Linked DNA regions of Oreochromis niloticus. The protein of the gene in region 2 interacts with the protein of the main gene of each other region in a pairwise test. Links are inferred from orthologs where the notes say so. Each region holds a gene or a part of one and is shown on either strand. Other genes may lie near its edges.

Region 1 (7,994 bases), on a different chromosome or scaffold from region 2:
GAAAAAGTATTTTCCCGCTGCCAGATTTCTTAATTTTGGGTATATTTGTCACAATTACATGTTTCAGATTAAACAAATTTTAATATTAGACTAAGGTAACCTGAGTAAATTGAAAAAAACAAAACAAAAAACAAACAAACAAACAACAAAAAAAAAAACCACTTAAATGATGATTTCATTTATTAAGGGAAAAAAAGCTATCTAAACTTACCTGTGTGAAAAAGTAATCTGCTCCCTTATTGAATCATAAACTGAATCACTAACTATGATTAACCACATTTTCTGGAAAGCTGAGCTCAATTTTACTAGCCACACCCAGGTATGATTACTACAAGACCTGTTGAATCAAGAAATACAGATCCTGTATGACAACGTGAAGTGGGCTAAAAGCAATACATTATGCTATGATCTAAAAGAACAGTTGTGAAACAAACTGACTTCCATGGGAGAGTTCAAACGAGAAAACCACTGCTAACAAAAAATAAAGCAAAGGCTCATCTCACATTTGGCAGAAAACAACTTAATAATCCCCAAGACCTGTGGACTAATGAGATAAAAACTGGAACTATTTTGATCAGCAGTCAAACATGGTGGTGGTAGTATGATAGTCTAGGGTGCTGTAATTCATGGAACCTCTATGCTCTCTATGAGAAAATCCTGAAGGAGGGTGTCTATCAGTTCAAGTGCACTTAGCTTATGCAGCAGGATAATGACACAAAACATGCCACCACGTCCACCTCTGAATTAAAGATTTTGGTGTGGCTTACTTAAAGCCTGGACTTAAATCAAATTGAGATGCTTGGAAACCCTCCAGTGTGGATAAATTAAAACTATTCTGCAAAGAAAAGTCATCCACAATTCCTCCAAAGTGATGTGAAAGTTATTCGCAGTTATTACAAACCTAAGTATTTTCTAAGTATTTTCCTGGAAATGATGGCACAACCAGTCACTAGATTTAAGGAGCAAATATGTTTTTCACACAAGGCCAGGAAGGTTTGGATAGTTTTTCCCTTAAATAAATGAAGGGAGCAATTCAGTGCTCTCAATTCTGTGCAGAAATCTTTATGTTCTGACGTTTATTGCAATAACTTGAATTAACACCAGTGACAGTAAACAACTGAAAGACTAATGTTCTTTTTCTTTGTACAGATATTAAAACAGACACCAGGATTTTTTTCCAGAACTTGTGAATCTGATAAAACAGAAAAAGCCACATGGACAGATCAACAGGGGGATCATCACAGCTATAAAGCTAAATAAACAAAGTAGATGCTGTACATGCTTTAGCATTACTTTGGACAAAATCAAGACAAACTGAGTCTGCAGGCTGTAATATGCAATATTCTAAATACCAGCCAACTGTTTGATATTTATAATGATAATTCCACTTGATCTTACCCCGCTCTGTCCAACATCCAGTTCCACGAATGTTGGCCTCCTTCCAACCCTCACAGCATAGCTGAGAAGCATCCGACACACCGTTGACTTCCCAACATCTGTCGGTCCCACCACCATCACCTGAGGGTCGATTTATTATTTAGTATTAATCCAAGAAGTATTCATGGGATCTGACAAGTTCCTGAATGAAGTAGTTCCCCAGTCAAACGTACCCTTGGTCCTCTCTCATTGTCACGCTCTGCTTGTTTTCTCATCTGTTCAAGGGCTGCATGTGTGTTTAGGTAGAGCAGCATGGGTGTATCCTTGGACACATAAGCAACCTGCGATGGTGACAGCAAGACGATGGTTATTTGTGGCTTTGCCTTTTTTACCCAAAGTAAAACACACAATGATGTGACAAAACGTAACACAACAGACACATTTGAACTTTCCCAAATCTGCAAGGATTCCCATCCACATGCTTACCTCTGGCTTCCCATAAAGATTCACACTGCAGCCTTGCCAAGTGAAAACCGCAATCTTGGAGCCTGGTCCAAATGTATACTTTTTGTTTCGGTTTAGCTCGGAGCCAAACACCTCAGCCATTCCTGTGAGGAGCTCCAGTTCAACTTGTTCAGCTGCTTCCCCCGACTCCACCTCAAAGCGAAGTTCAGTCTCCTTTTCCAGGTCATACCTGGTGCTGGCCTTTCCAGCTGCTGGAGCATCTTCACTCGTCTTTTCCACCCCCTCTGTTGCCATGACTGTCAACAAGAAACTTCAGGTTGCAATAACTTGGCAGAAGTAGCATGCTGAAAAGCAAAAGTTACATGCATACCATACATAAAGTAGTAATACGACAAAACATTACACACAGCTTCTCTAATAAAGCAATGCTTAAAGGAAAGTGTGTTAACACAGATGTTTATTAAGTATTTACAAATTAAAGTCACAAGCTAACTACTGAAGTCCCATAACTTTTTAATAACACTAATTTTAACTCTAGCATTACCCTTCACATTATTTTAAATTTGGTGTTTGAACATTGTATGCATAAAGGATAAACTTGACCACACAGAGTAACAGATCCAATTGTTTAAATATTGTGCTCGGTGTTTTCCGGCAGGATTATTCAATGTCAGATCACGACATTTTTTGAACATTTTCTGCTTGACCATTTTCGATTTCCCTGAAAGTTTTATGGTCCAAAGTTGGTCCATATATTTTCACATATTAATTCTTTGAAAAGGGTTTTCTATATATGAGACTATAAGTTCACAGCAATAATATAATATAACAAAACTTTGGACCGTAAGATTTTTATGCAACTCGATGTAGTCCAGCAGAAGGCCCACGATAATTTGAAATGGAAGGACACTTCAGTGATTTTGTCCTAAAACCACGGCGGTGGGATTAATCTTGGCTACCTGATAAGCCAAATTGCAAAAACACACCTGATTACGGACAATGATAGGTTCAAATAAAGTTAAGAGGGAAACCAGTTAAATCAACAAACCAGCTAGCGGAGCCACCGGGGGTAATTCGACCTTTCTAAGACTAGCAAAGGTCGAATGACTGCTTACAAACCCGTTAGATAATTCTCGCAACGTCAAGCAAAAGTCTAAAACGTAATAATTTGTAATATATAAAAGTTACGCACCAATTTCAAGACTTGTTGTAGAAAGAAATCGGTCCCGTGCTCATGAGGAACCGTTGAAGTGTCTGGTCGCGTGATAATGACGTCACATCCTGGCAACTATTAAAACAAAATGTTCGTTTGCCAAAAACGGAAGACTTTGAATCCTTTTTGTGTGTCTGCTATCCTTGCTTATATTGATATAAAAAACAAAACAAAATTTCGCAAACACTTAGCAGACGATCACTTTTTGGGTGTCATTGTGTGACGTCCTCACAACGCGACGTGTTTATATTAGTTTTGCACGTGTGACACAAAATTCATTATAGCATCTACTTTGTGACAGGAATGTTTTTCTACAAGAACTTTACTATGAAATGGGAAAATTCTGTATTTTGTTTCTTTCGAAGGCAAAAAATGAGGATGTATACTTTATAATAAACCTGTTAGTTATCTTAGCTAAATTTTATTTCCACAAATGCAAATACAACCTAATTTTAAACAGTACTATAATGATAGTCTATCTTACATAAAATTGATTAGTGGTTCACTTAATAAAAAGGCTATAAAAACAATTATTATTTGTACTAATTAAAAATTATCTGAATGTATGTAACGTTTTACATTACACCCCCTGGCATATGTTAATTATGTTTCAATTTGTATACACTCTCTGTATACTGTTGCTTAATAAAGTTCTATTAAAAAATTGGGGTGGGGGATTTGGGATGGCTTGATTTCATTCACACAAGAGACGCTTGACAGATAATAGATTACACAGATTAACAAATCTTCTTTCATTTCGCCACAACGGATTGTGTCTCTATCTCACTCTATCCCTAGCATTCTCCATGGTCACGCAAATCCTCTGCATGTCTTCCTTCACTACCTTCTCTGTGGTCTTGCTCTTTCCTCCTGCTTGGAAATTCCAGATTGAACATACTTTATCCAATGTACCCATTTCACATGTTCAAACCATCTCAGCCTTTCCTCTTTAACTTTGTCTCCAATCTGCTCAACCTCAACTGTTCTTCTGATATACTAATTTCTAAAGTCCAACAAGTGTTTTAAAACTGTTTAAATACCTGCAACCATTTTTAGCAAATATTTGCAATCACGTTTTGGCAATTACTTTTTTGCATAACACTACCAGAGCCCTCAAATTACTAATTAAGGGCACTGCTTGGGTTAATGCAATTAGACAACCTTCTGAAATATGCTACAAGGTACTTTGTCAGCTGTTTAAAACTATTAACCATTTCAATTAGTAAAATTTACTTTATTTGCCAAGAGTTCAACACACAAAATGCATCTCTAGTTTTCTTCTCCACACTTCCTGAATTTAAATAAGAAAAACTTTCCATAAAACAGATGAGTGTTTGGATAGACTTATAACAAAATACACACAATTACCAAAAAAAGATTTTATTTCTCAAAAAACAAAACAGACATAAAACCACTACTGAACTTTTGTGAAACAACAGTAAACAGCAGTAATGTGTCAGAGAAATGCTTTGGCTCAGCTAAGCTCCACTAGGTGTCACCGTGCACCCAGAAGATGGCAGCAGTTAGAGCATGGCTCATCAGAGGAGGGACTGAGAACATCTCCTTGGTCACTTCTCGTCATTTTTGCTTCCACTGGCTGCATCTCCAGAATGCTGGGCTGCAAATAATATGGGAAACGTTTTGTTAAAAAGACACTTGTACGCAACTGTTGTTCACTGAATAGCTGCATTACAATTCATACTGAAGACATTTTGACTTGATTCTCTTTACAGGGCTACATAAGTTAGCAGTTTAATGTGAAGAAAAAGTAAAGTTGCATTTTCTTATTTTGTATCTGTTTGTTTTATGCATTCATTATTCAGTCAAACTGCTTTGCCAAACCTTCACTGGGTGTCTAAGCCTTCAGAGCCTCCTGCAGAGCAGAAACTACCACTTCAGGCTGTGGAAACTTCAGCTTACGAGGTGGGCCCTTCTTTATTCCAGTCCACAGAGATGTTTCTTTAGGAATCGGGAAGAAAGTGTCATTTGTATCATTATTTTACACTGAAGGATCCATATTGCTGAGTAAGCGTGTTTACCTTTGCCCCCGTCCTGCAGAGTGATCTCGAAGCTGTTCCTGCGAGGTTTCTCAGGGTTGAGGACCACAGTCAGTTCAGGGCAGGCAGCCAGGAGGGCGGATTTCACCTCCTCAGCATTACGCCCGTACACTCGTCAGCTTTTACTGCCAGAAGTGAGACATCAAGATTACACCTTGTTGCAGATTTAAATAGTTGAGTTACAAAGTGAACTGTGATGTTATCCATTTTGCTTCTGGTTTAATAATAATATAAACAGATTTCATGAGAACCATTGTTTTTTTTCCACCTAATCAATACATTCACCTCTGATACTTAAACACTTGGATTTTTATTTGTGATTAAGTATTTTAAAACAACGGCTATATTTACTCACTTTACATAAAAGCAATTAGCATTTCCTTCACCACTGATTATAATGTGATTAAAAAAAAATACCAGTGTTCAATGACCACCCTGAGGCCTTCCTGGCTGCTTTCATCGTCTCCTCTGCCCTTCTTTTCCTCCACTGAAGGTTTCTCCTCCTCTACCTGAACTTCTGCTTTGCGCTTCTTCCCACCACGACCTAAAAACACACATGTGTAGTTTTGTGTTTGGCTATTTCTTGAATTTGTGTCTCCATATCTCATTTATCCTCTGTCCTTTTGACCATGACCCAGAATTCAATCAGACCGCACAATACTGAATGGAAAATTTCTAAAAACATCAATAGGACAGAGAAGAGAGTAGCCTGCACAAGAAGCTACATTTCAGGACTCAAGGGTGTATCTGTAGTGGCAGCTTGTCGAAAAGTGAAATTCAAAATTCACAATCAAAAGGCCAGTGATGCACAATGTGCAAGTAAAGTATGTAGAAGAAAAAAGAAGTCAATTTCCCAAAAGAAAAAATACATGCAGTTCATCGATTTACTTGATCCTTTGCAAGCAGCTGGCTCCTGTTGCTTCCTTTGCCATGGTTAAATAAAACCATAGGCCCTCCCTGGTGCATGCTGGTCCTATGCCCGCCCACCTACTTATTTAGCCTGAGGTGTCTTTGGCCTTACTAGAGTCTTACAAAAGCCCAAAATAAAGCAATCATCCATCCACCATTCCATCCATCTTCTTCTGCTTATTCAATTCAGGATTGCAGCTGGGTGTGAGACTCCCAGCTCAAATAGGGCGACAGGGAGTTTACACTGTGGGCAGATCGCCAGTTTGTCACAGGACTCAAGATGAACTAAACAACACAACCATTAAACAACGAACCACTACATAGCTCCAACAGTAATCTTTTCAAAGGTTTAAACAGCTGGAAAATACAAACCATGGTGGGAAAAGAGCTCCTTAAACAACTAGTTCTTTCTGTTTAGGTTACATGAGATGGTCACTGAATTGAAATAACGGAAGCCCTAAATACACAAAGATGCAATTACCACCGTTACATTAGAGGTCTTACAATACAGCAGTACAAAATAATTTCGGATGCAGCTGTGCTACATGTCATATTTAATGTATAGCATAATAAAATGAAGAAAAGAGTTCTGTTTTATAAATGCCCAATGCTCCAACTCCTCCTGTCATGCCCTTGGTGGGAGGAGAGTGAGTAGAGGAGGACTCAGGCACGTGCAGGCTGAGAAGTTTCATAACCCAACAGATAGTAATAATAATGACCCATTTAATGCGTCGTTGCATAATAAACATGGTCAGAAAGGTCAGCGCGCCGACTCCTGCTAGATTTAACGAGTTCAGAAAGTGAATAATGTACATATCTTCGCAGTTACTACTTTGCTCCTGCATGTAGCCATTCAGCTAAATGACCTACAAAGACAGGCAGAAACAGTCATGGGAATGATAACCGCTGCATCAAAATGGTACAACCCTCTTCCTCCTCAGTATATCAACCGGAGACAAACTCCGTTACAGCTTTTGTTGTAGAAAAAAAATCACGGTATTGTTTACATTCCTATAACACACACCCACCTGCTTTGGACGCCATTGCTGTTACAAAACTTTGGCGCGCGCATGTCGACTGTACCAATATATCTGGGAAGGGGGTTTCAGTTTGGCTGGACGAAACCATTAATGGGAAGTTTTCCGAGCATGAATGAAAATAAGATCTACCGTTATTATTTCTAATGTCATAAATGTGTTAATATAACTACTGTAATTTAACTAAAACTGCATTTAAAGTGCAAATACAAACCTTTTGTTAAACACCTACAGCAATAAAGTGTTCTTTCATTATCTTTGTAAGTAGCTATATACATATATACATGAACAGGAACATGTTTTTTTTGTATGGTGACACACTTAAGCATATACAGTTAAAGCAGTGAATGCGTGTTACCTGATTTAAAGGGTTATGCGTGTTGCTGCCTGAGTAAATTAAACATGTTTTTGTGTTTATCTCTGTCCTGCTGATTTACATTTAGGAAAAGGTCAAAAGTGCAACACAGTGATGTGGTGGTTACCACTGTTGCTTTGCAGAATGAATGTCCAGTCTTTGATTCAAGCAGTCTTCAGCCTCTTCCCAAAGTCCAAAAACATGCATTGGGTTAAGTTAATTAGACTAACTGGCGATTCTAAATTGGCTGTAGGTGTAAATGTGAATATTAATGGTTGACTGTTTCTCCATTTTAGCCCTGCGATAGATTGGTGATCTCTAAAGGGTGTACCCTACCTCTTGACCAAGGACAACTGGGATGGGCTTCAGACCCCCTGTGACCCATAATAAAGAAAGTGGATGGATAGAAAAACCATCATTTATTGTTGTATCAAGTCATCCAGTTGAGCACAGAAAAAAATCATTCTTGCATAAAACAATAAGTCTTTGGCTAGGGTAAGTAATAAATCTAAAACGTAACTAAGAAAATCTCTAATTTACCAAAACAAATATAAAAGCATCATTAGCATCATTATGCTCCA
Region 2 (7,899 bases):
ACTTGCTTCCTGATGCCCTGTACAAGGACTTTGATTGGTAGCTTGAAGTGGGCTGCATTATTTACTGGCAGGACTGGATCATATCACATGTCAAATGGGCAAACAAACCAAAATAGGGATGAATGCCACTGTTTCCAGCAACAGACAGTAACAGACAGATTTGTAGAAAGCAAACATCTGTTGAGCAAAAAATAAACATGTTTCAAGGTTAGATGTTAAAGAAATTGTCACGTACAGCAGCAAAAGTTTGAGGTCAACACACACAGAAACACACATGATAACACAAATATCAAACTATTAAAATATTAAACATATAAAATTCCATGGAAGACAAAACAAAATTATAATAAGATTAATGCACACAGGACTGAGTAGTCAAAATCCAGCTTTTCAGGTCGTGAAAGAAGTTATGATGATCTGTTCAAATTTTTACATTTTTGGAAGCATATTCTAGGCTTTAATTACTTCATAGAAGAAAGCTGATTGTCACGATCAATACAGAACAAACATATTTGTTCTGTGTTGCAAAAGAGCTTTTTCCAGTTGAGACAAATAGCAAAGCTGAAGCCAGTTTTGTCAAGACGTGACATGGAGAAGGTAATACATGCTTTTATTTCAACTCGGCTTGACTATTGTAATGCACTTTATGTTGGAGTCGGCCAAACATCTATTGCACGTCTTCAGCTCATTCAAAATGCTGCTGCCTGCCTCTTAACTGGTACCTGCAGGCATGAACATGTAACACCTATCCTGTCCTCTCTTCATTGGCTTCCTGTTCATGACAGAATTAATTTTAAAATCCTAACGCTGGTTTAGAAATGCCTAAATGATCTTGCTCTCCCATACCTTTCCGAGTTACTTCAGCCATATATTCCTTCGCGGACCCTCAGATCAGATGAGCTGCTGTTGGTTGTCCCAAAATCTAGGCTAAAGCGTAGAGGAGAATGAGCCTTTTCAATTATGGCTCCCAGACTTTGGAATATGCTGCCTTTAAATATTAGACAGGCATCTTCATTCCAGTTTTCAAGTCACTTTTGAAAACTCACCTTTTTTCGATAGCGTTTAGACTGGTGTGAGTTGATATGTTTATTAGAGTTGGATGTCTCAAGACCCTTCTTGGTCTTGAGACCGGTCTCGAGACCACTTTTACATGGTCTCGGTCTTGTCTTGGTCTCGCTGTCTCAGTCTTGTTGTCTCAGATCAACATAGTGGTCGGGAGATTTGGAGTCAACAGTATCCATGACACACAACGTAACGTTCGATAATGTGTCATGCGCAAAGCATCAGCTCTAAGAGCCGTGCTTAGAGAGCGCTTTGTAATGAATCAGAAGTGTCGACTCCCATTGAGCGAGAGCCGGCTCCTCACTTAATTTCCTTTGGCTGCTCAGCTCTCACACAGTGGCTCAGCTGTGCTCCAATCCCTCCATATTGTGGCCAATCACATGCAAGGATATAGGATAATATCATTATGTGAAAAACAGAGAGGGTGATGGACGCGACAGTCAAGTGGAGCGTGCGTCTGTCCTCTCAGTACGTGAGTCAGCCAGTAGACAGCGGTGAGGAGGGCTGTGTGAGTGCATCGCAAAAACACATAAATATGCCTGACACCCGTAAACGAGGCAGCATCTGGCTGCAGTTTAAAGACTTTTTTTGTCTCGGTCTCGTCTCGACTTTGTCTTGGTCTTGACTCGGTCTGTCTTGGTCTCGATACCCTCTGGTCTTGGTATTGTCTTGGTCTTGGTTTAGGCGGTCTTGACTACAAGTCTAATGTTTATTATGTGTATTATTATGTGTTTATGTGAGTGTCAGTGTTTTTTATCTTGTGTTTTACCCCTTTGTTTCTGTACAGCACTTTAGGCTAACTTTCTGTTTTTAAATGTGCTACATAAATAAAATGGATTTGGATCTGTCTGGTCAGACTCAAACGCAAAACTCAGTAGTGCAAGTTTAGAGATTTAGTTATAATGCAGGTGAGGGTTGTGCTATTTACAGTCTTTCAGCAGTTTTTAGTTCAAAAGCTTCTTATTTACAAAATCCAACAAAGGAGCGTTTCCAAAACTGATGGGAACCACTGGGATGTCTTAAACAGAGGACAAGACACATTAGAAATCTTTGTGATGACAACAAGGACCACGACGTGCAGATCAGTGAGGAGATCTCTACCACAGTGAAACAAAGCTCAGGCAAAGACTGAATGTCACATCCCAGCATAGTCAGCTGTTTGCCAGATGTTTTGCAGGTGTTTTGCTTCAGGTGTGTCAGGGAGAGGGCAGAGATCCCACCAGCATTCTCGCCCTGTAAGGTAAAGCAGGGTAAGTAGACACACACACACAGAGCAATAAGCACACATACCAAGAGGGAGAGAGAGAAAAAGACATGGTGTATCTTATGTACTAACGGTGTATATATAAGTTTGACTATATATGGAACATAGATATATGTAATTATGTAGCAAAGACAAAAAATGATAAATAACTCTAAATATGTTTTATATTTTAGATTCCACCCTTTGCTTTGTTGACAGTGCTGCAAACCCTTGGCCTTGTCTAAATGAGCTCCATGATGTAGTTACTTGAAATGGTTTCACTTCACAGCTGTGCCTTGTCAGGGTTCATTCGTGGAATTTCTTGCCTTCTTAATGAGGTTACGCCATAGGTTCCGTTGTGCAGAAGTCAGGTTGGTAGCTGACAGCCCTATTTGACAACTGTCAGAATTCATATGGCAAGAACCAGGCAGCTAAGTAAAGAAAAATGACAGTCCTTCATTACTTAAAGAACTGAAAGTCAGTCAGTTCAGAAAATTGCTAAAACTTTGAATGTGTCCCCAGTTCCACATAGAGTTCCAGTAGCAGACACATCTCTACATCAGGCCTTTATGCTCAAATAGCTGCTAAGAAACCACGACTAAGGAAAAGCAACAAGCAGAAGAGATTTGTTTGGGCCAAGAAACACAAGGAATGGACATTAGACCAGTGGAAATCTGTGCTTTGGTCTGATGAACCAAATTTGAGATCTTTGGTTCCACCCGTGTCTTTGTGCAACACAGAAAAGGTAAACAGATGGTCTCTACATGCATGGTTCCCATCGTGAAGCATGGAGGAGGAGGTGTGATGGTGTAGGGGTGCTTTGTTGGTGACACTAGTGGGGGTTTATTCAAAGTTGAAGGCACACTGATCCAGCATGGCTACAACAGCATCCTGCAGTGACATGCCAACAGATCCAGTTTACGTTTAGTTGGACCATCATTTATTTTTCAATAGCACAATGACCCCAAACACACCTCCAGGCTGTGTGAGGGCTATTTGACCAAGAAGGAGAGTGATGGAGGGCTGCGTCAGATGGCCTGGCCTCCACAGTCACCTGACCTAAACTCAGTTGAGATGGTTTGGGATGAGATGGACCACAGAGTGAAGGCAAACGAGCCAACAAGTGCTCAGCATCTCTGGGAACTCATTCAGGACTGTTGGAAAACCATTTCAGGTGAAGGAGTGTGCAAAACAGTAATCAAAGCGAAGGGTGGCTATTTTGATGAATCTGAAATATAAAACGTGTTATGAGTTATTTCACACTTTTTTGTTTACTATATAATTCCATATATGCTCATTCACAGTTTTAAGCCTTCAGTGAAAATTTACAATGTAAATAGTCATGAAAAGAAGGTGTGTCTAAACTTTTGACTGGTAGAGAACTTGAGTGGAGTTAATTTAGAATTAACGCTACCTGGGCACACGTTTGGCTTGGTGGGTGAGCAGGCAATCTACTGCAGAAAGCAGCAGCCCCCTGCTGACCTTTAGGAAGAAAAACACATTACACACAAATGTATTGGCTTCTTTTCTTGGGAGACACAAGTGTTTTAAATTTTATCTTGAAGTCGTTTTTCCAAATATTTTGAATAGTTTGTTCGGATTTCGCCTGTCATTTCCAGGTTAAAGCTCTCTCCTGTTTCATTTCAAAAGGGTGTACATGAATTAACTGCCAGGGTGAATTGCCAAATGGCATCAACTGGCAAGACTTGCTTCCTGATGCCCTGTACAAGGACTTTGATTGGTAGCTTGAAGTGGGCTGCATTATTTACTGGCAGGACTGGATCATATCACATGTCAAATGGGCAAACAAACCAAAATAGGGATGAATGCCACTGTTTCCAGCAACAGACAGTAACAGACAGATTTGTAGAAAGCAAACATCTGTTGAGCAAAAAATAAACATGTTTCAAGGTTAGATGTTAAAGAAATTGTCACGTACAGCAGCAAAAGTTTGAGGTCAACACACACAGAAACACACATGATAACACAAATATCAAACTATTAAAATATTAAATATATAAAATTCCATGGAAGACAAAACAAGATTATAATAAGATTAATGCACACAAGACTGAGTAGTCAAAATCCAGTTTTTCAGATAAGCAACAAGCAAGAAGATACCTGCCACAGTGAAACAAAGCTCAGGCAAAGACTGAATGTCACATCCCAGCATAGTCAGCTGTTTGCCAGATGTTTTGCAGGTGTTTTGCTTCAGGTGTGTCAGGGAGAGGGCAGAGATCCCACCAGCATTCTCGCCCTGTAAGGTAAGGCAGGGTAAGTAGACACACACACACACACACACACAGCAATAAGCATAAGCACACACACACACACAGAGCAATAAGCATAAGCACACATACCAAGAGGGAGAGAGAGAGAGAGTATTTATGCCTGATCCAATTTTCTGCCTTCTTGTGGGACCCTTTGGTTTGTTTTGGCCTGAACAAATCAAGTATTCTGGAAAAAAAAAACCTTCCCTGATTTTAAACTGTGCTTTATTTTTAAGCCCTTTGGCGCCCTCTGATGGCCACTTTATAACTGATGAATATGACGGTCACTAGGACCCAGAGGAGCGCTGCAGTAGCAGGGAGACCCGGCATCATGGCGGATCAAAACAACACAGACGATAAAGGGAAGTTCTACAGTGAAATTTTAAGGTGTGTTTTTACCTTTAACGGTACCTGTGAGCGGGCTTATTCGCAGGGTAGCGGTATTTTCTCTGGTGTTCTCCCTCAGCGTCTGTTTGTCATTGAATCACTGTGGTCGGAACTCTCAGAGTTCTTGTGCACATGGTAGCACGGGTTAGTTTAAAGCTAATTGTTATCTTCAACGCGAATACGTGCTGAAGAGAAAACGCCTATAGTTTCATTAAAACGCACTGACGAAGCTGCACAGCTGTTTCCAGAGAAACACTGTTACTGAAATATTATCTGGACACGTTTTCTGAAATATTGACACTCTGTATTCGGCTCTCTGTCTCCCTCTGTTGTGTGTTTTGGTAAAAACAGCCGTGGGAGAGAGAGAAAGCATTAGGAAAGTTAGGAATTAAGTAACAGTAAAATATTTTTTGGAAGTCTGCTGTTTTTGTTTTTCTGCACACAGACAAAGCATCAGGGTGGAGTCCTTTTAAAACAAGTCTGGGCGAGATCCCGTGGCACTGAGTCACGACTTTATGACTCAGGATGGCACTTTAATTACACGCAGATGGACTTCATAAGTGATACTAACGTTATACACCAACATGCAAAGCCTGGAAAGTATGCCAGTAACTTGGGGACTGCTGCTTTCTTGTCATGATAATCTTTCACATCGATGCAGCTTTGCTAGAAAGATAAACAAGTTTTACAGTTACCTAAAACTCAGGTATGAACTGAACGTGGGCAAGAAAAATCACTTTAGTTAAATGAAACACAAATAAACTACAACAACCTGTGCAGCTCAAAATGCTTCAGATAACTGAGAAACAGAAACGGAACAAATTAGACAGCGAAACAAGTAACATGCAGTTCTTAGCAATGTAATGTACACAAAATAAAAGCTAAAAGCTGCTTTTTGGGACCCACGGGCCTGTCATGATTCGTAGCCTGGCACCATGTGAGACAAATATGATGTACAGAGACTAAGAAGTGCCTTAAAAACAGCTAAAAGGATTCTAAAGTCATTGCACAAACTAGCAGGCAGCCAGCATGTTGTAAAACTGGTGTTACGGTGCGTTCACGCGATAGAGGCGGCCAGAGCGTCAGGTTTACATGTAAAGTCAGTGGAAAGAGCGCGATGACACGCGATTGCGCGTCCGGTGAAAATTCGGAAGCAGATTTGCGTCGCGAAAACGCCTGAAACGCCTGAAACGCGCGTCAGTGTACCACGTGGGGCGCGTTTGGCTCGCGAAGAAAACCACGCGTGTCAGATTGTGTGTTGCATTTTGTGCACACGTGCGTATCGCGCCAACCGCTGGAGTTGGAAAATCTGAACTCCGGCGTCAAATCGCGCCGCAACAACCAATCAGGAGGCTGGTGATGTGGCTGTGACCTAGGTACTGACGCGCACTGTCCCGCTATTTTCCCACTGATGTACAAATACCTTTCCGCCAACAAGATAATGTGTTTATTCAGAGGACATCTGCAGGAGAAAGTGGAAGAGCCTCAGGGACACATATAATAAGGAGAAGAGGAGTGGGTCTGCAGCAGGATCGGGGAAGAGATGGAAGTTCTTCGCGGTCATGGGGTTTCTGGACCCCTTCCTCACCCCGCGGGAGACTAGCGGCAATATGGTGCGGACCGTGGAGAACTTCCCCCCCCGAGGACCAGGGACAGCCCGGAGAGGCAGCAGGGGAGTGTCAGTCAGAAGGACAAGGTTTACAGTGAATTAATGTAGGCAGTTAATTTATGCGTGTTGTCATATAGGAATATATTTTGTTTATTAATAAAACAGTATACAGTGGTCCCGCTGTTCACCCGTCACATTTCGCTGATTTTTGTTATTGCACCGTACAGCTTTCAACAATGCGCATTGCATTCTGCAGCCTGATTGACAAATCTCCTCCGTGCTGTGTCTCCTGCGCTTGCCAAACTTATCATGTTTGGTTTTGATAACCATCACGTCCAATAGAAAAAACAGCACAAAAACACTCATAACTATGACCCTCATTCGGAGATACACACCTGCACCGCGAGGGAAAAAGGCGCACGAAAGTGGCGCGCAGACGGAGAAAAAGCACAGCATAATAAAACTTCCTCCCACATTTCCAGTTCACGCGCGTCAAAATATGCAATTTTGACGCGCGATGGATTTTTCTTGGACACACATTGAGGTGCGAATGTGCACGCGTCAAATTTGGGGCGTTTTCGCTCGCGCCAATCGGCGTTCGGTGTGAACGCACCGTTACGGTGCGCACACACCGAACGCGATAGAGGCGGCCAGAGCGTCAGGTGTACATGTAAAGTCAATGGAAAGAGCGCGATGACACGCGATTGCGCATCCGGCGAACATGCGGAAGCAGATTTGCGTCGCGAAAACGCCAAAACCCGTAAAACGCGCGTCAGTGTACTGCGTGGGGCGCGTTTGACTCGCGAAGAAAACCATGCGTGTCAGATTGTGTGTTGCATTTTGTGCACACACCCGTACCGCGCCAACCGCTGGAGTTGGAAAATATGAACTCCGGCGTCATAAACACATCAGTGTTTATTCAGTGTCCTCTGAATAAACACATTATCTTGTTAGCGGAAAGGTATTTGTACATCAGTGGGAAAATAGCGGGACAGTAGGCGGGCTTGCTACCTTTTGCGCGGCTTTATCGGGTCAGTCTGAAAATTAAAAAGGAGAATGAATGAACTTACCAGGTTGCCCGATCTCCTCACTTCTGTGCCTCCAAGCTCGGTCCTTTTTATTCCTGTCTCGGTAGAAGTAGCAGCTGGCATCATACAGCTCTGGGTGATTAGCCACGGCAGTGATGAGTTTTTCCTCCATACTGAATGAAGAATGAAGGGCTTTGGTTTGATCTGCCCCTGTGACCTGGTTACAGCCACGTCACCGGCCTCCTGATTGGTTGTCGGGCCGCGATTTGACGCCGGAGTTCAGATTTTCCAACTCCAGCG
Region 3 (7,447 bases), on a different chromosome or scaffold from region 2:
CACGGTGGATCGACAGCAGCACGCTCAGGGGGCGGAGCCCAGCAGCTAGAGACCAGCCTCACCCACTGTGTCTGTGACCACTTAGTCGGACCCACGACCAGAATGGAGTCCGTGTTAGTGTGTCATCGGTCACATGTGACGCTTCAGTGTCAGACCTGATGTGCAATGAACTCACCTTCACACACACACACACACACACACACACAGCTCTGTTTCATGTAGTGAGCTCAGCTTTGGTTCATGTCTGTGTGTGTGAGGCTGCTCGTCCTCCATCTGACCTTCTTTCTTTAGCGCGTTAGTTAGGGCTGTGCGATATGACCAAAATCTCATATCCCGATATTAAGACATCTATCGTCCGATAACGATATAAATCACAAAAATGTAACATTTTCTGTAAATTCTGTGAATCTCGGGCAGCTCGACTTGCGTGAAGTGTTTCCAGCTGGGCGTCATGGACCTGGAGTCAAGTGTTTTAACTGATGCATGAAACGATACATTTTTAGACATAAGTTGTAACGGCCGCCGTTTTCTTTGTGAGTATTTATTACACAGCGTGCTGCGGGGAAAAGCCTGTTCTAACGTTTGAGTCTAAGGTTTATTTTTTTTAGCACCTGACGGCTCTTTTTTTGCTTCTCATCCGTAAATACTCTGCATCTTTCATGTGATTCAGTTTATTTTGAAAAGTCTCAACAGGATCTTGAGCTTTATTGTGAAAGGTTTATGTGGAAAATAAACAAGCGGACATGCCGTGGTTTTACCGTTGTTGTTGCTAACGACAACCCATAAAAACAGGCGCTTGTCTGTCTGTAGTGTGGTTATATTAAATATAAGAGAAAGACAGAACTTTAAGAAATTCATATAGCCACTACAGTGACCATCAAAATGATGAAAAAATATTGCCGTAAACAGTTTATTTTGCGACACCACGAAACAAACGATAGCGTAAAATGAAACGATAGACGTTTTTATATCGTCATCCGATATATATCGTTATATCAAACAGCCCTAGCGTTAGTTGTGTGAACTTTGACCTTTTGTTGTCCCTGAGCCACACCGAGGGTCTCAGAGGAAATTACAACTTTTATTTTATTCTGAAATAAAGTTTCTTAAATCGCACTTCCTGCAGCTCTCTGCTGTTTCCTGCCGTGGAGCTGCAGGTTTTCACCCTCGGGGGCAGAATGTGGCGGGTGGGTCATCGCCATGACGATTGTAGTGTGTGCAAGAACAGTGATTATTAACACTGATTATAAATCCCAGTTCTTCTATCGGCCCGTGAACGCAGCGTTTCACCTTCATGTGCATTAAAATGTGTAGAGATGGGCAGTAACTTGTAGTAAGTAAGTAATATGTAATCTGAAGTAATCCGATTACTTTTTTCATGTAAGGGATTGAGTAAAGTAAGGGATTACTATTGCAAAAAAGTAATTAGATTACTGTTACCTTCCCGTAAGCACGCTGCATTACTGCAATACTAAACCGTGATTTTGTTTGTTTGTGTCTCATGACAATGACGTACGAGCGTGCGGCTTCAGTGGCAGCAACAGACGTGTGCAGATCAACAATGGAGTGATGGAGAGAGTGTGACCATGCAGCCTTTAAAGCGTGGAAGTACTCACATTACTTTGAGTTTGATTCTGTAAAAAGTGACAGAAACATTAGTGTCCGCTGTGCACTCTGTGTGGGAAGAAAACTTCTTTCTAAATTTGAGCGAGCACCGAGCACGCTGCCACGGGAATGTGACGTTCACAGAGAAAGCCCCGGATCCCCCCACTGACATGACTGCTGTGGGCAAACCTCCACCCGCCCCACTCCTGCTGAACAATAGATTTAAGAGCGACAGGACTCAGTGCTGCTGAATCTGCTGTGTTTTACATGCATCTATTTCAAAGAGTGAGTGTAAACACAAAACATGATTTTATTTTATATGCTGGAATATGCAGAATAGGTATAAATGTTAAACATATTTCTTCAAGTCAATATAATTTAATGTTGTGCATAAAATTAAAAAGATTAAAACAAATAAAACAAGTTTTAAAAAGAGACTTTTTCATTTGATTCCATTGTATATGATGGATTATGCAGAAAAATAGAATTGGGCTGAAAGGTCTGTTGCTTTATTACATATTCAGGTTTGTATCATGTTTTTAAAAAGTAACTAAGTAATAAAGTAACTAATTACTTTTGAAAATAAGTAATCAGCAAAGTAAAGGGATTACTTTCTTGGAGAAGTAATCAGTAAATAGTAACTAATTTCTATTTTCAAGTAACTTGACCAACACTGCCTGTGACTGACCTGTGTTCGACTCTCGGCTGAAGCAGAAGTAAAACTTTGTTTTGGTAACCACGGCTGTGTTACATACACAACACATATTCAGGTATTTATTCAGAAAAAGTTTTATTTGTATCGTTGTTCAAACTCCTGAAGTAACAAATGAGTTTTGCTGCTTTGACTCTGAGCTCTCACATTTACTATGAATGATTTTCACACTTTGAGGTCTCAGGTGTTTCTGTGATTCAGTGCAGACCAATCAAAATGCTATCAGAGCAGGGGCACGGCTAGGCTGGCGTGGAAACCAAAGCCATTTACACATATGTAGGTGTTACATTCTCTAATATGCATCATATATGTACTGTATAGCCTGTTTAATAAATATGTTTGCAGCCCAATAAGTATAAAATCCAGAAAGCTACAAAACATGGTTCAGCTACAAACACAAGTCTAACTTCAGTTTCACTCTTTTTATTACAAATAATCAAGTTAATTTTACACAAAATGTCAGAAATGTGCACGTCATGAAACATTTTTCACCAAAAATTTAAACCTAATTTTTCAGGATTCGTTGGGTTAACCCGCTGGGCTCCAGGATACAACAGCTCATTTTTAACTATGTTTGATTTTATATTTATTACTATTCATTTTTTCTCGCCTTATTTTATTTCCTTTTTCTTTTCAGCACAAGGTCTGAATTCACAGTTAGTTTTTCATTGGCATGCTGTATTAATACAACTCATCTGAAATCACACAAGAACATAAAAACCAAGTAGGAAAAAGTTCATTTTATTTTAAAAACTCGTGCAAAAATTTGATAAACAATAAAGTTATACACAACTTTTGACCTAAAAATGCAGCCAATGCATCTGGTGATTTTTGTATAACCTTTTAAGAATACTACTAAAACTAAAATTAAAGAACAATCAGGTGACACAATAAGATGCCCCACAGTGCAAAAAATAGTTTGTCCACCACAAGACAGAGGAGAACCCCACAGGGATAAACCTGCAGGTCTAACAACAGGAAGTGGATCACTCGTCCTGGAGCCAGCGTTTACACTGCAGTCTGCCTTTGTGACGTTCATTAGTGCCCTCACTGACACACAAAACAAAACAAATGACTACACAACACACTAACTACACACTCCAAACACGAGAAACGTCACAAATCTCTCACAACTTAAGACTCGCTGTCCATATCCCTCTCTCTCTCTCACCACCGTTGCTCCAACACTTCCCCCTCCTCCTAAATGAACCAATCCCACGTGTTGCCATATTTTTATTTTTATTTTTTTGGTACATTGGTGGCTTTTTTTTCCTTTTATTTTTTGTGCTGTCCTTAGAAAACGCATTTTTATGATTAAAAAAAAAGCATCGTGTATATAATTTTTTTAATCATAACTCTGGTTTTAGTAGCCTGTCAATAAAATTTACAAATATATAGTTTGGAGTCTGAACTTTCAACACAAGCTGAAACAGCGACTCAGCGTGGCTGCAGCTTGTAGCTATATCGGCTTAAATCAGTCATGTGATTTGGAGGCGCAGCACACACAGGGTTAATAGCGCTCACCTTCATCATCACACCACCTGTTTGAAATCTGAAATGCCCATGGTGTTGCTCAAAATGTGCTCCGGCACAGATGTGGGCGGGGGTGACACTATACAATATAATATGTGTTACAATTTATATTTAGTGTGAACTTGTAGCTAGGCTTAAAGTGTTAATGCTAACTTATTTTAATAAACAACATTATCACATGCAAAGCCAAGGAGGCAGTAGGGGTGGCAAGAGATTATTTTAGGGTGCTACCTCATGCCACCCCGTAGATCCGCCCCTGTTTCAGAGGCTTTTAGTGGCAGATGGATGGAGTGCATCCACACAGGTGGTGCTGGCAGCGTGAATGGATGAATTCATTACCGAAGGCACAGCTTCCGTTTTTAGCCTGACAGGAAGTGTTCGTCAGATTTAGGATGACACACAGGAGCCCGCAGGGGGCGGTAACGGGTTACGGGAAAAGAAGAAGAAGAACTGGAGGTGGAACTACACGGAGAAGATCGACAGTTCCAGTCGGACACAGATTCGGTGACGCCACAGCAAAACGAACCGCGCGGAGGCTAACAGCTAGCAGTGCCAGACCCGCAGTGCCAGCCCGGTTCGACACCAGGGAGCATGCACGCGGACTTCCGGGCTCCCCGGCGCCGCCTCCGGGTCACGGAGGAGCTCGAGGCTCCGCTGCCGCTCAGCCCGCGCGAGAGGAGTCACTTCCGGGCGGAGCTCCTCAATGAGCACGTGCTGGTCTGTGATCCGGAACACAGCCAGAAGATCCACGACCAGGTCTGACCACACCCACCTCACCCGAGCCCCTCCCATCTTCTACAGAGCTAACAGCCGCGCGTGAGAATCAGAACAGCCTTTTTTTTCTTTTTCTTTTTTTTAACTTTATTAGTAGAATTACACGGGCACAGACGGTCACGGGGTTCGTGTAGCGGCCGTTAGACACAGACTGGGGCTGAAACAACATATCAAACAAGCAGCTTTATGGGAATGTTGTAACATATTGCCTGGTTTGCATTAGAAAATTTGGATTGAGATTTAGCCAGTAAGATTAGTAAATTAATCAAATAAACTTCGTTTGCTTTATTTCCAGGGTCAAAAAAGCCAAACATTATTTTTCCATAACAGAGAGAGCGGTCAGAATAGATCAACGAAACAACAAAGGCACAGAAATCCCACCAGGAAAGATAAAGTAGATAAACAGGACAAAGACACGTGAGCAATCTCTTCATTCTGACAGGAAACAAAATGAACAGTTAACATCAGTCTTTTTTTATATCGTACAAGAAAAGTTCTGGTGGGGTCAAAACGATGAATGATTTTCAAAGATATTTTCTTTACTTTGTTGGTTAACTGGAGTTTCGATGATAAGGTCCAAATTTTCTTCCACTCCAGGTCCCAGTATAATTAGTTATTCCAGTGAGCACTGGCCACTGGGACACAAGTTCTGTCTTTCTGAAACAGAGTTGGTTTGTCACGGGTGTTTTTCTTCTTTAGATAGGGGAAACAGCAGGATCCAGTGGTAGAGGGTCAGATCACTAACAACAGAGTTTCACCAAGTCGCCGGTCCTGGTGTCGAGCGCACAATTTGACGTCACATCTTGTGTTAGCCGTTAGGGTTAGAATCCTGCAGTAAAACCCCATTGCTCACTTTGATAACTACCCTGACGCTCACACTGTCCTCCAATCATAAAGCCGTTAGGACGTCAGTGTTCAACATTCAGACAAGAGGAAGAAGGAAATAAACAGGAGAGTCCTGCCGCAGCGTCCTGCACTTTAATGCTGGATTTAAATACTAGTGTCCATAAAGGTGCCACGACCTCCTTACACTCACCTGTACTTATATCCACGGCTACAGATGGCTGCCAGCACGGCGCTGGCACCCTTACTGATCTGGATTATTGATAATCTAATTGGACTCTACATCCCAGGGTGCCAGTGTGACAGTATAAAGAAGGCGGAGCTTCAGGTAAAGCTGCAGTCTTTCAGACGGCCTCCAGGGGGCGACAGCTGTCAAACCGGTGCTCTGACCTCACTGAGCAATTTGCTGATACACTTATGACTAAATCAGAATCCTTTATTAATAAGAGTAAGAAGAGTAACAGACTGAACTAAATTAAATATATAAATTAAATACAATATATTACAAAGTTACAAAAAATATGAAATAGCACTATATAAACAAATAGCTCAATGATAAATGTCCAGATTATTACAGAGATTAAATATACATGATAGACATTTTTCACTCTAACCTGTAAAACTTTGTCGTTTTCACTGTGGAGGACGTACAAACGCTGTAACTACTCCACCGTGTGCTGTATATTAGGCTGTGTCCCAATTAAGAGACCGCACGCTTGAAGTACGCGCACTACACGTACTACGTACGGTGCGTAATATAAGTACAAGAAGTGCGGAAGTGAGAGGCTTGTGAAATGGGACGGTCTAGCCTTCGTAGCGCTGTTCAGGTTGCCTAGCAACCATGATACTAACCGCGAGAAACGTTACATACAGCTTTGTGTGACATAAATGAAGGAGAAAAAATGTTTTGTTGGTCAATCATTTTTGTCATGACATCACTTTGATTAGTTGAGTATCTGAGGCTGAGACCACAGGACTGTGAAACATGATTGTTGGGCTTCATTTCTGTACTGAACAGTCATTTCAAGATTAGTTAGTAAATAACAATTAGCTAATGTTGTTCATGAGACTAAAATCATCTCACTGTGGTAATGTAAATATAATATGGCCAATATTATATGTATTGTCAGATTATTATGATATGTATATATATATATATATATATATATATATATATATATATATATATATATACATATATATATATATATATATATATACATATATTATTTTTTTAATATATTTTTTTACAGGATATATTACAGCAGTGAGCTTGAACTCTGGGTCAAAGATTCAAGTTGCTGTTATTTATATTACCTATTCCTTAAATCTTCACTCAAAGACAAGTATCTCTGACAGTGTATATACAGATGTATTATATATAAGAGACAAACATTGTTCGTTTAATATGTTGACATTACTAAATTTAGCTCAGTGCTTACATATATGTGGAAAAACAAAATGTACGAGCTGTGATAACTGTGTCTGATAAAATGAAGAGTAGACTGATATATTAAATATTCCTTTATTGGGTGAGAAAATCAGACCATGTCATAACTGCTTTAAGTCATACAGAATAGATATCAGAGCCTTAAACAGGCTGACTTCTGCTAAATGGGTCAAACTGGGCAGAAAGTCTACAAACACATAACATCCTTATAGAATATGATGTAACACTATAGATCAACTTAGCTCAGAATATATAAAGCATATAAACAATTACAGCAATATGACGCAACAAACACAGCAGTGCTACTAATCCAAAATACTCAAAGCTTCATAGAACTGAAACAAACATTTATTTTTAGCTCCATTCTGCTGCTGATACATACTTTAGGTTTCTGAATATTAAACTTGTTGCTGCCTTTCATAGTGTGTAACTTGAAGGCCCTGAGTACTTTCTCCCACACTGAAAACACTGGAATGATAACATTATTTGAACATTACCTAATAAGACTGATTCAGGACAGACAATTAGTT

The links. The genes of interacting proteins can lie anywhere in the genome.
Region 1: the proteins of tsen54 (region 2) and clp1 interact in binary tests that used the Homo sapiens proteins (3 or more experiments, as listed by UniProt). The link is inferred for Oreochromis niloticus from reciprocal best matches to the Homo sapiens genes TSEN54 and CLP1.
Region 3: the proteins of tsen54 (region 2) and tsen2 interact in a two-hybrid assay, tested with the Homo sapiens proteins (2 studies listed by BioGRID and IntAct). The two-hybrid records come from large-scale screens. The link is inferred for Oreochromis niloticus from reciprocal best matches to the Homo sapiens genes TSEN54 and TSEN2.

The regions. Positions count from the first base shown.
Region 1 is NC_031966.2:22,597,478-22,605,471, forward strand, and holds the start of clp1 (polyribonucleotide 5'-hydroxyl-kinase Clp1), read right to left. Parts: upstream 3,206-7,994; 5' UTR 3,035-3,205; intron 2,187-3,034; 5' UTR 2,137-2,186; coding exon 1,864-2,136; intron 1,719-1,863; coding exon 1,611-1,718; intron 1,519-1,610; coding exon 1,399-1,518; intron 1-1,398. UniProt on the Homo sapiens protein: Polynucleotide kinase that can phosphorylate the 5'-hydroxyl groups of double-stranded RNA (dsRNA), single-stranded RNA (ssRNA), double-stranded DNA (dsDNA) and double-stranded DNA:RNA hybrids. dsRNA is phosphorylated more efficiently than dsDNA, and the RNA component of a DNA:RNA hybrid is phosphorylated more efficiently than the DNA component.
Region 2 is NC_031969.2:32,227,467-32,235,365, reverse strand, and holds the start of tsen54 (tRNA-splicing endonuclease subunit Sen54), read left to right. Parts: upstream 1-4,720; 5' UTR 4,721-4,846; coding exon 4,847-4,962; intron 4,963-7,899.
Region 3 is NC_031970.2:1,298,305-1,305,751, reverse strand, and holds the start of tsen2 (tRNA-splicing endonuclease subunit Sen2), read left to right. Parts: upstream 1-4,242; 5' UTR 4,243-4,441; coding exon 4,442-4,606; intron 4,607-7,447. Other genes in the region: MKRN2 opposite strand protein, read left to right, coding at 1-49.